3 linked regions of the Oryza sativa Japonica Group genome follow. The protein of the gene in region 1 interacts with the protein of each later gene in a pairwise test. Links are inferred from orthologs where the notes say so. Each region holds a gene or a part of one and is shown in the gene's direction. Other genes may lie near its edges.

Region 1 (3,750 bases):
CACCTAACCACATTTATTGCAGTTTTGACGAGCGCGTCACGCCGCCTGTATCGCAGTACAGCACGCTCGTTTATCCGGTCTGTGACCAGTCACAGACCGGTCAGATCATGGGTTAGGTGGCGACAGGCGGTCTGACGCACGCCTCGCCCCATCCCGTCAGGACGAGAGCCTCCAAGCACTCGTCCCTAGCTGGAGCCGGCGTGTTAGCTCCTGGAGATGGCACGTTGGTTCCGGTCAGATATATGCCAGGCTTCATCCTAACCATTACAGGCAAGATATTGTATGAAGAAGGGCGAACATGCAGATTGTTAAACTGACACGTGGTGGACAAGAATGACCGATTTGTGACCGGTCTGACAATGGTCAAGTCATCAGCAGACAGCCATCTTCCCACGTCGCGCCTGCCTCCGGCGGAAGTGGAGGTAGGTATGGGCCGTCCCATCAGAAGGTCATTCGGACGGCGGCGATGCAAATCTCCGTCTGTTAATGAAGAGAAGTCAAATTGGAAGAAAGAGAGGGGGAGATGGTGCATGTGGTATCCCCTTAAGATATAAAAGGAGGACCTTGCCCACTTAGAGGGGGGATGATTGGACTTTTCCAGATTGGGAACCCAGAACAAGAGAGAGGCTGGCTCATACTTTGTAGCTCCTTCATACACAGATCCTCCAAAACACAGGAGTAGGGTATTACGCTTCTCAGCGGCCCGAACCTGTATACATCGCCGGCGTCTTGTGTGTTTCCTGTCTCGCGAACCTTCCACAAATTGGGAGCTTAGAGTCTCACCCAGGGTCCCCGGCCGAACCGGCAAAAGGGGACCAGCGCGGTCTCCCGGTGAGGAGCCCCACGCTCCGTCAGTCGCTATGGGCTACTCGCCTATTGGGCTTGCAAGCACACGCTGACGTACTTTGCGCCATCAAGATCGGACGGTCCTCGATCATGACAAAGCCCCGTCAGCATATGCATCACATCGCACGGTCCTGATCGCGCCACGGCAGCACGTTCGTCATCGCCACGGTCCGTGCCGGGGCCCGGGCCTTCGCGGGCCCCGCAGCGAATCACCGTAGGTGGGGCCCAGCCCAGGACCAGGGAGATGACCACACGCCGCGCAGGATCGGACGGCCGCGATCTCGCGGGGACCGCCGCGTGTCCCGTGGGGGAGGGACTATATATGGGCCGGAAACGAGACGGCTTGCACTGCCTGTGCACTCGGCGCCCTCTCGTCGTATATGGGGGAAGGATCCGACGGCCCAGCGCGACGCCCGCAGTGTTCTCTCCCTCCCCACCTCGATCTCTCTCTCTCGCTTCGTGGCTCTTCTCTCCTGCGACTGCGAGAGGAATCTCCCACTCAGTCCCAGATTGTTTCTGTGCGGCGACAGCGTCGCTGCGTAGCTTCTGATATCTTTGCCGCCGCTGTGTTTGGCGCCATTGACGCAGCCGCATCCACTCCTCGACCAGACAAGGGAGGCCTTTCTCTCTGTGCTATCTCCAAAGGCTTCTGAGTCGATTCAGAGGCAGAGCTCGAAACCGAAAGGGCGGCGAAGGTGAAGCCGACCGGCGGGCTGCAAATTGCGCTCGTTCGCTCACCGGCGACGTGGAGGAGAAGGTAATGGTGGTGACGGCGACGCACGCAACCAGCTTGCTTGATGCTTCGTCTTATCTTTGCTTTGCTTTTTTTTTGTGTGTGTGTGTGTTGAGTTACACTTTTTCTATGTTTTGTTTTCTCGTCTTGCATGCCGTTTCTTACCCTGTTCTGTTCACCAGAAAGTCAAAGTCCGTTTATCTTGGTGTCAAAAATAAAAGGCCGTTTCTCCTTGCATCCCGCTCTCGCTTCTAGGCGTATACATATTTATTTTGGCACATTTTTGTCTGCATCATTTCAGGCGCCGGAGAGAGAGGAAGAGGAGGCGGAGCAACCCGGTCAGCGCGCGCGTAGGTGGTTTGGGTACGCACACTGTTTACACGGCGAGCAAACTCGGAGGAGAGAGAGAGCTGTGGCTAACGTAGCTATCTGGGGGCCGTCAGTTACCTGTAAGCATCATCTCATCACTCTCACTGTGCCTCTCATTTCTCTCTCCCTCTACAGCAACATTAATTAATTACTAGCTGATACTACTACTGTACAAAAGAAATTACTACCACCGGCCAAAAGAAAACACACACAATACCGTGTTTAAGGTTATCACGTCGTGTTTCTATTAAAAAAGCGCAAAAGATAATCAGCAAAAACCCTACCGGGCTCCACAATGCAGTCACTCGATAGCCGGTCGCTTTAGCCGGGGCCCATATTTTTCTCGGTAGGGATGGAGCAGGAGGAAAAAAAAAATAAAGTCCAGGCAGTACGTTGATCTGGGGGAGGGCGTGGGGCCCCAGCTGCAGTGACTGTAGCTGATACACATCTGAGCGGCTCCCTGCCTCGTCCACCGAGCTACTGCTGTTGGTGTCGTTTGGAGTCTTCCCCATACGCCCCTGCCTACCTCGCGTGGGTAGCTGCGCCTCATCTGCATGAACACTGTGCACAACACATACACAAACGGGCGGAGCTAGCTAGCCATAGCACACTGGTGGTTAATAAATTTCCATGTGCGCGTAAACATCAGAAGCTTCCCTGCCGCAATGTAGCTGACCGTATTTTACTACTACAACCTGCTTTTCAGTTTTGATTTACTAGTAGTATATGTGTGTGTGTCATGTGGCATGGCGATTAAAGAATCTCTGTGCCTGTGCCCGTCGATCGATCTGCTTTGCCCCGCGTAGCGTTTCTTCCACTGTGTTAGAGCAGCCTGCGAATGCATGCCATGCATGCAGGAGTAGCTGTGAACGACTGTGATGCTGCCATTGGCATGGGTCTTGCTTGCTTTGTTATGCTGGTGCTATACTTTTTTGTCGCTGCAGGCTCCAGTGCTCCACTGCACCAGCTAGCCAGCCAGCTTGCCCCGTTTTGACGCCGGTGGCGAATTGAAGCTCCAGAGACCAGAGTCCCTAGCTATAGCTATCTCTCGTACATACGCATGCTTGCATTGCTCTCTGTTGCTCAACGAGCCGGAAGGACAGCTCCTCCGACGCACACGCATGCGCACGTGTGCGTGGTCACGGACCGGCCGGATAGCTCTGTGCTCGCATAGTGTACCGGATGTCGTGTTCGCGTGCTTACATGTGAGATGCAAGGATGGCATGGCACGTCTGGTCCAAATGGTGTGTGGTACTAGAATGGCGTCACACACCGGCTTGGAAACCGCTTTACGTTATTACAGTACATTGTAGATTGTGGCTATGGCTAGAGGATACTAGACTGATAGTGTCACTGTTGATACTTGATAGGAGTACGTACTTTCGGCGTGTATTTATTTTGGTCGTACATACGTGTGCGTGGATACACGAAATCTCGCACTCGTTTAATTATCATGGAAATGTGTACTATACATGTACTAAGTGTACTATTGCCATGCGAACAACGACAAAGTTTGACCATCTCATGGATAGACATTCTATCACATGCATGCATGCAACTGTAGCCGTGGGCTGTAGTGTCTACATGACGGCATGTCTGATCAAACTTGATCTTTCGTTACAGCGGCTTCAATTCTGATAGATAGCCGTACTGTGGTAGTACTATATATGTAACGCTAATGCACACACTTTTGCAGTTCGATACACAAGGTGAGATTGTGGGGGGAGCGATTGACTACTGATTGATCCGTCTCGTCGTCGTCGATCGAGGAGAGGGAGGCAGATAGGGAGAGGGGGTCAGAG
Region 2 (3,750 bases), on another chromosome or scaffold:
AATGCGGGTAATGCTAAAAGTTTATATATTATGAAACAGAGGAAGTACTCAAATTATGCCATGTTGCTGTAATCTCACTTGATAGTTACTCGAAGTTTGGCCATATGCTTAGCTACTTTGAGCTGATCTTTATAATACTCAATGTACATTTGGCAACATTTAATTTGGTCTTCCAGAGTTGGTTCTGGATTAATGACCTTGCAGGTCACCAAAAGGCGCACTAATTTCCATCATGTCTAAAGTGATCAACTTGGAGATATGGCCATCATCAAGCCCCCACATATGATCCACGCAGAATAAAATTGTTCTACATACCAATAATTTTCATTCAGATTTAGTTCCATTTTGATTCTGATTTAGTGCGCCTAAGTTTGTTTACACAGCTAAATACGGAGACATGTCGACACTATATCTCAAATAACCGTTTCTTCATCACTGAAGTAGTGTGAAAAGATTGCGTTTTTAAAGATTGCAATTTTTTTCCTCTCCTGTTTTGTGCCCTTGATATTATGTCGTTTTCATCAGTAGTTTAGAGCAAGTTTAATAGTATATCCAACTATTGGCTTCAATTCATCTATAGCCAACCTAATAGCTCATTCATACAATATTTACATACTACACTATTAATACCTGGTCCTACTTGTTATACACACCCTGCGTCTTGAAGTCCGTATTACAGCTGGCTATAAATTTATAGCCCGCTGCTATTCTCTCTTCTTATTTATCTTATTAAAATATGTTTGCAGTTGGCTTATAGCCAGGTATTGTACCTGCTTTTAGAGCACCCATAATGGTAAAATAAGATGCTCTCTATAAAACATGTACATCTCAGCAATAGATTAGATTAATAGTAAACCACCTCAATAGTATGTCTACATGTGTATCTATAGCTCTCTAATCCATTGCCTCGTTTTTATCTATAGACTATCTCTAGGTTAGTATATAGCTTTGTTCTCTCTCTTCATTTAGTCTCTTCCAAGTAGGATAATATGCTGACATGGATATCTTATGGATATCTTATAGAGAGCCTATAAATAACCATTGCGGGCGCCCTTATCACGCTTCTAGCTTCATTTAAGCCGTCCAAAACCCTTAACTGCGATGGCGCACAACACAACAAATCATCTTTTCGAGGATTTTGCGAAGAATCGATACAAAAAAGCAACGTTGACGTGAGCGAGAAAATTCAGAAACTTTCAGAGGAAAAAAGAAGAAGAAAGGTTTCAACTTTCAAGAGGTAGTAGTAGTAGTAGTGCAGAGATATCTGAAGAAAAGTGCAGAGAAAAAAGAAGCAGCCGAGGTAATATAAAAGTTGGAGAGAAACAGGTGAAGCTGCAATATTTCGCCACATCTTCTTCTTCTTCTTCTCCATGCCGATCGCCTCCAAGCTCGTCTACTTCCAGCGCCGCCGCCCATCGCCGGCGCCGCCGGAGCCGGAGCCGGAGCCTCCCGACCCTCGCCGCAGGCCCTGCCGAGCCGGAGCCGGAGCCTCCGCCGCACGCCGCCGCAAGCCGGTGAGCTAGCTTTCTGCCGTTTCTTGGCTAAGGCTGCGAACTTATTATTATTATTTTATTATTTATTTTTACGGCTTCTCGAGTGAGGAGAAGTTTTCGGAGGAGGATTTCGTCTCCAGTGTTTAGTTGGATTTCAGCTTAGGAGTAGCTAGTGAGAATCATGGTGTGGTTCATGGTTTTGTGGCGTTGTGGCCAAGTGCTGGCGATTTGGGTGAGGTTCCAAAGAAAGTAAGAAACGATTTTAGAAGGGAGGGTTTAGATTGAGATTTGATTGCTGATTTGGAAGGGGAAATGGATGGTTTTAGAGATTTGCCTAGGAAGGAGACACCAGGGGAGTTCCAATCTGGTACTTGGATCAGCAATCAGCTTGTAAGAACTAAAGAAGTGGAGAATTTCATCTTTTGTTTTGTAGGGCTCACCCCAGTGAAGATTTGTGTTGGAAGCTTTGGTAGAGTGATTAGTTGTGGTCAGTTGAGATGAACTGAGGCGTGCATCAGTGAATCAGATCATCTGCACTTTCATATGCATGCCCTTGTCAGATCTATGGCAAGTTAGTAACCAAATGTTTGGCTCTCATAGAAAAAAAAGAGAAAATTCGATCCATAGCACAAGAAAAAAAGCGGTACCAAAAAATAGCACACAATTTTTTCGCTTTCGACGAGAAGCACAGGCCACCGTTTTTCCTTCGTACCATAGCACTTCCGTCGCATCCTGAGGTAACGGTGTTAGATCTGAGTGGAGAAAAATGTCATTGGACTCATTTGCCCTTCATCTCTTCTCCCTTATTCCCTATTTCCTCAGCTATTTCCCGTTCATTCTCTTTTGATGGTTCCTTTGCTGTGGAGCTTGGATACCAAGTGCGTCGTTGTCAACACGTTCGCAGCCTTGGAGGCCGCCTATTTGGACTTGAAGTGTCCTCCGGTGGGCTCAAGGTTGTTAGCCATGGCCTTCGTCCAGCGACCGTGGCGGACCGGCGGTGCTACCGACAGAGGTGGGTGCCTGGCTGGACGCCTTCGCCGATGGCGCCGTCGTGTACGTCAACTTAGCGACGCAGCAGTCACTGTCGCCGGCGCAGGTGGCGTGCGTGGCTGAGGCGCTGACGCGGAGCTCGGCGGCGCTCGTGTGGGCCGCGGACAGCGTCACCGCCGCAGCGCTGCCGAAAGGGTTCGAGGCGGCGACAATGGCGTGGGGACGGGCCTGGTCATCCGCGGGTGGGCGCCGCAGGTGGCGATCCCGCGCCACCGCGCCGTGGGGTGGTCCCTGATGCACTGCGGCACGAACACGATGCTGGAGGCGACGTCGGCGGGCGTCGCGATGCTCACGTGGCCCATGGTCGCCGACCACTTCGTGAACAAGATTTTGCTGGTGGAGGCCGGCGTGGCGATGCACCTGGCGGAGGGCGCGGACGCCGTGCCTGACTCTGGGCAGATGGCGAAGGCGATCGCCGCCGTGGTCGGCGACAAGGGGAAGCCCTTCAGGGAGCGTGCAGTGGCGCTTGCCCGCATGGCTGCAGCGGCGGTAGCAGAGGGTGGGACTTCGTATAGGGACTTGGAAAGAGGGAGGAAATGGGGAATAAGGGAGAAGAGACGAAGGGCAAATGAGTCCAACGATATTTTTCTCCACTTCGATCTAACGCCGTTACCTCATAATGTGACGGAAGTGCTACGGGTCGAAGGAAAAACGGTGGCCTGTGCTTCTCGCCGAAAGCGAAAAATTTATGTGCTATTTTTTGGTACCGCTTTCTCTTCTGTGCTATAGATCGAATTTTCTCAAAAAAAAAAATGTCAAGTCTGGTTCTCGCAAAATCTAAGTTATGTGTTAGTAAATTTGGTCGTTGATGAGATCTATGATTATGAGTGTAAATGATGGGTTCGGTGATCTTTTGTTCTTCAAGAAACATTAATGTGTTTGCTGGTGTTCTGGGGAATTCATCAGCTGGTACAGTGGTACTAGTAGAAAGTTTGACAATCCTTTTCAAACTAGGTAGAGTACATCTGTACATGTGCTGTAACTCGTGAAGGGTATTTACTACAACCATGATAAGAAGGTACTCGTGGAATACTAGTAGCATATACCGAAATCTTTTTCTGAGAGGTTCAACTAATTTCAATGTAGATTTATGGTTAAATGACAAAGACAGTTCTTTGGTTGGTATCTCAAATTTAGTAGCCCAATTAAGCCTGTAGTACTTTACATTCATACTAGTACTAATTAGATGTTAATTGCTGGTAAACTG
Region 3 (3,687 bases), on another chromosome or scaffold:
TCTTATTTAATTAGAGACAACAGTGCCACCTAGTTGACCATGACTCACATGCACACACAATTTGTCTGTCAGATTTGGTTTCAGTTTCACTCTCAAATAGTAATCATCATAGCTACTTCCATTTCATGCAGTCTGGTGGAGCCTTTAGGGACAAATATGGATAGATTGGTAGGTCCTGGTCTTTCCTTGCAACTCAATTTTACATGGTGGATCAGGTTCTTTCTCTCCCTAAATAATTTCCTATCCTTTCTGTTAGGTCATGTGGCCCAACTAGTGAATGTTAGTGAAGAGTTTTATAACCAAGCCTTATGATGGATTTTGCAGTCACCGATAATGCGCAATAATGCTCCACTATCCCATTCTTTAGTAATCTCTACTTGTGGTCTAAAGATAAAGATATTCTTTATAAGGTCTCAAACAAAGCTTTGCAACTGTCGCTCACTGTCTGAGCTTAGGTGGTTTTCCTAAAGAAAAAACTCATTTTAAATTTTTGTTAAAAATCGGTTTGCTACTTTAGTACTCCATCCGGTTTTCAGTAGATCACACTTTTGACTTTTAGACATATGTTTGATTGTTCGTCTTATTAAAAAATAAGGATAATCGATATTTTTGCATATTGTAAAATTTATTTTTAAGTAAGACCAATAGTCAAATTGTATATTCAAAATCTAACAACGTCATCAGTTAAAAACTAGAGAGAGTATTTATTATTCAATCAATCAAATAAAAAGATAAACAGACTTGTAAAGAATAAATGGGCCTGAAATACACTGGGCCGGAAGCCCATCCTACTGTGTGAGAAACTTTCAGGCCCATGCGGTTTCGTCGTGGGCTTGGCGTCTCCGAGCTTTTACGCACAAAAGAGGCAAAATCTTTCACGGCGACGTGGCACAGTATGGCTCTGGCTCACCGACTCTGCCGTCTTCCTCGCCTCCTCCCCCTCGCCGCCGCCGCCGCCGCCTCCAAACCCTACCTCCCCGGAAAACCTAGCCCCGCGCCTCCTCCTCCCCTCTCCTCCCCGCCGCCGTTTCCCTCTCTCTCCCGCCTCTTCTCCACCACCCCCTCCTCCTCAGGTACTCACCACTTCTCCTCAAGTGGTTACTGGACTCGAGATAATCGTGTTTTCTTTTCTTTTTCTTTTTCTTCTTTGTTGTTGCAGGTGATTCCAGCATGGTGGTGGTCGGATCGGCGGAGTCCTTCACCAGCATCATGTCCAAGGTGGAAGGTGCGGCGCGCCCGATTCCTCTTCCTCTCCCCTTCCACCTTTGCTGCTGTTGTTTGTTAGTGTTTTGGTGGGTAGGATTGGATCATGGTCTCATGGATGCGCGCGATTTCCTTTTTGCAGCGGAGAAGCTTCCGGCCGTGTTCTACTACACGGCGGTATGGTGCGGGCCTTGTAAGTGCCGGATCTTCGTGCCGAAATTGGGATTTTTGGAATTAGATGGTTGATGATGATGTGAGGTGTTATAAGATGGGTTGTTTGGTGTTTGTAGGTAGAGCGATGGCACCCGTGATTTCAAAACTGAGCAGCCGGTACCCCAAGATACCTATCTACAAAGTTGACATTGACATGGTAAGTGGGCGGATCCAAATCTCGCTGCGATTGTGATGCGCCGAAGTGTTCTTCTTGCTCAAATAGGTGTTGTTGGGATTAAAATTGCAAAATTGTTTGGTTACTCATATGTTCATAGTTGAAGATTGTTTGTCATGTATAATTGCATTACCTCCCATGTGTTAACTGCAGAGTAGTATTTTTGACCCCTGTCCTTTCAAAGTTTAGGTTTGGCTTATGCTTTTTAGGGTGTGTTTTAATCTTGAGCAAGGGAAGTTCTATCCTTGCTAAGTTAGGAGAGGCATTTGGTACAAACAAAAAATCCTAGATTTTGAGGGCAAGTTAGGCAATAACTGCCTCAAAATCCTTGCCCACCAGGGAGAGCCAAATCAGCTCTCCTCCAGCGGCAAGCAATGATCGTTGGTAGTTTTGCTTGAGCAGCCATGAAACCAAATGAACTCTCTTGTTGCCATAGGCTATATAGCCTAACCTGACTACTTTGGCATTGCTTGGCTAGGCAAAATATTCCAGAAATCCAAACGTGCCCTTAGTAAACTACAATGCTTAAAACTCAAGTGCTAGTGATTGAACCAATCCTGTTCTTCTGTAGAAAGCCTCGAGTCAATTGACCAATCTGGATCTAGTCTGAAATATTTCGCATCATTCTAGCACTACTTATGTTCAAGTATGGGATCTGCATATGTAGAAGGCAAAGTTATGAGATGGGAATTTTTCACTGAATATCCGTAATACTGTTCCATGAATCACTGTTAATCAAGATGGTGTCCGGTTCAGAGCTTCCTACCTTTGTATTCTGATTTCAAAGACTAATATGCTACACTGTTTGGTTAGTTCACTCAATAACTGGAATACTCTATTGAGAACACTCCTATACTTTCAGTACATTGAAAGGCAAAATGTGTTTCACTATGTTACCAATTTTGATTATGGCTGAAATAATTATCTGAACCTTATGGCCATGCTTGGACATGTTTATTGATAGGCACTTCCCTGACCTGTGTTGCTTTTGCAGGATGGTGTTGGAAGCAAACTAAGTGATCTAAAAATATTCTCTGTGGTAAGTTGCATTGTACTATGACTATAGCTCATGACTGTGTGCCTAAATTTCTGCGCAGCTTCCTCCAGTTATCTAGATCTCTTTTTCTTTGTTGCCAACATGTTTTGCTCTTGTAGCCAACATTCCATTTCTACTACCAAGGTCGGAAGACAGGTGAGGTGGTTGGTGCTAATGCGACAAAACTTGAATCAACCATGGAAAGTCTTCACAAGTAAGAAATTCAATTTATATTATTCCCTTGTTATCTCTGTTGTTAAATAGATGGACATAAAGAAAACCTGACCAATTAAATTTAATCCTGTCACTACAAAACAAGCAAAACCTTGGTTGTGATGATAAGATATGCATACGAGTTCATACACTTGTGTCCATCACTTACTAAGTGCCCCTGGTATTATGCTTTTGTTGCACAGGCAACTATAGAAGTTTTGTGGAAGAATATGACCGGGAGGTGGCCAGATGTCTCCATGTGCCTTCCATCAACGTGTTTGACATTGATATTTCTGAACCTTCTGGTTGTTTTTTATCATGCTGAATTCAGTACATTGCACCTCTTGTTTATTTAGCACAACTTTGTATAGTCTGCATGTCTAATATCAGAATCAACGCAAACATTCTGTTGGGATGCAGCAACCCACTAATTTTGTTGGGATAGACGTGAAGGAATTCTGGGCCTGTCAGTCCATCCATTGTTTTTCTGGGCCTTTGTCATAGTTCAACCATTCCAGTGTTGGGCTACAAGTCCCCCAGAATTTTTTCTCGCCATCGGCACAAGTTAATCATGAACCTACGATGTTTGGCGTCTCGAAAGTGAAAAAAAATAAATTAAATGCTTGAGTTTCACCTGAATTTCTGAGCAATCTGGTGCGTTGCACCGTATACTGTGATCGTGCTCTACCCACTAGGCCACTATCCAGACTATCCATACTCCAAAGGTCAAAACGGCCACGCACGGACAGATGCAGGGGTTCTTGAACAGGTGAAAAAAAATAGATGGACATAAAGAAAACCTGACCAATCAAAACGGCCACGCACGGACAGATGCGAGGCGGCAGGA

The links.
Region 2: the proteins of putative protein Brevis radix-like 3 (region 1) and probable E3 ubiquitin-protein ligase XERICO interact in binary tests that used the Arabidopsis thaliana proteins (3 or more experiments, as listed by UniProt). The link is inferred for Oryza sativa Japonica Group from reciprocal best matches to the Arabidopsis thaliana genes BRX and AT1G49850.
Region 3: the proteins of putative protein Brevis radix-like 3 (region 1) and thioredoxin O, mitochondrial interact in binary tests that used the Arabidopsis thaliana proteins (3 or more experiments, as listed by UniProt). The link is inferred for Oryza sativa Japonica Group from reciprocal best matches to the Arabidopsis thaliana genes BRX and TO1.

The regions. Positions count from the first base shown.
Region 1 is NC_089038.1:30,809,269-30,813,018, reverse strand, and holds the start of putative protein Brevis radix-like 3, read left to right. Parts: upstream 1-1,196; 5' UTR 1,197-1,603; intron 1,604-1,880; 5' UTR 1,881-2,028; intron 2,029-3,644; 5' UTR 3,645-3,750. UniProt on the Arabidopsis thaliana protein: Acts as a regulator of cell proliferation and elongation in the root and shoot. Regulates roots architecture and primary root protophloem differentiation.
Region 2 is NC_089046.1:24,770,438-24,774,187, forward strand, and holds the start of probable E3 ubiquitin-protein ligase XERICO, read left to right. Parts: upstream 1-1,239; 5' UTR 1,240-1,370; coding exon 1,371-1,514; intron 1,515-3,750. UniProt on the Arabidopsis thaliana protein: Probable E3 ubiquitin-protein ligase that may possess E3 ubiquitin ligase activity in vitro.
Region 3 is NC_089040.1:28,394,719-28,398,405, forward strand, and holds thioredoxin O, mitochondrial, read left to right. Parts: upstream 1-885; 5' UTR 886-895; coding exon 896-1,073; intron 1,074-1,159; coding exon 1,160-1,225; intron 1,226-1,345; coding exon 1,346-1,400; intron 1,401-1,497; coding exon 1,498-1,573; intron 1,574-2,585; coding exon 2,586-2,630; intron 2,631-2,746; coding exon 2,747-2,841; intron 2,842-3,043; coding exon 3,044-3,053; 3' UTR 3,054-3,479; downstream 3,480-3,687. UniProt on the Arabidopsis thaliana protein: Thiol-disulfide oxidoreductase that may participate in various redox reactions. Possesses insulin disulfide bonds reducing activity. Reduced by thioredoxin reductases NTRA and NTRB.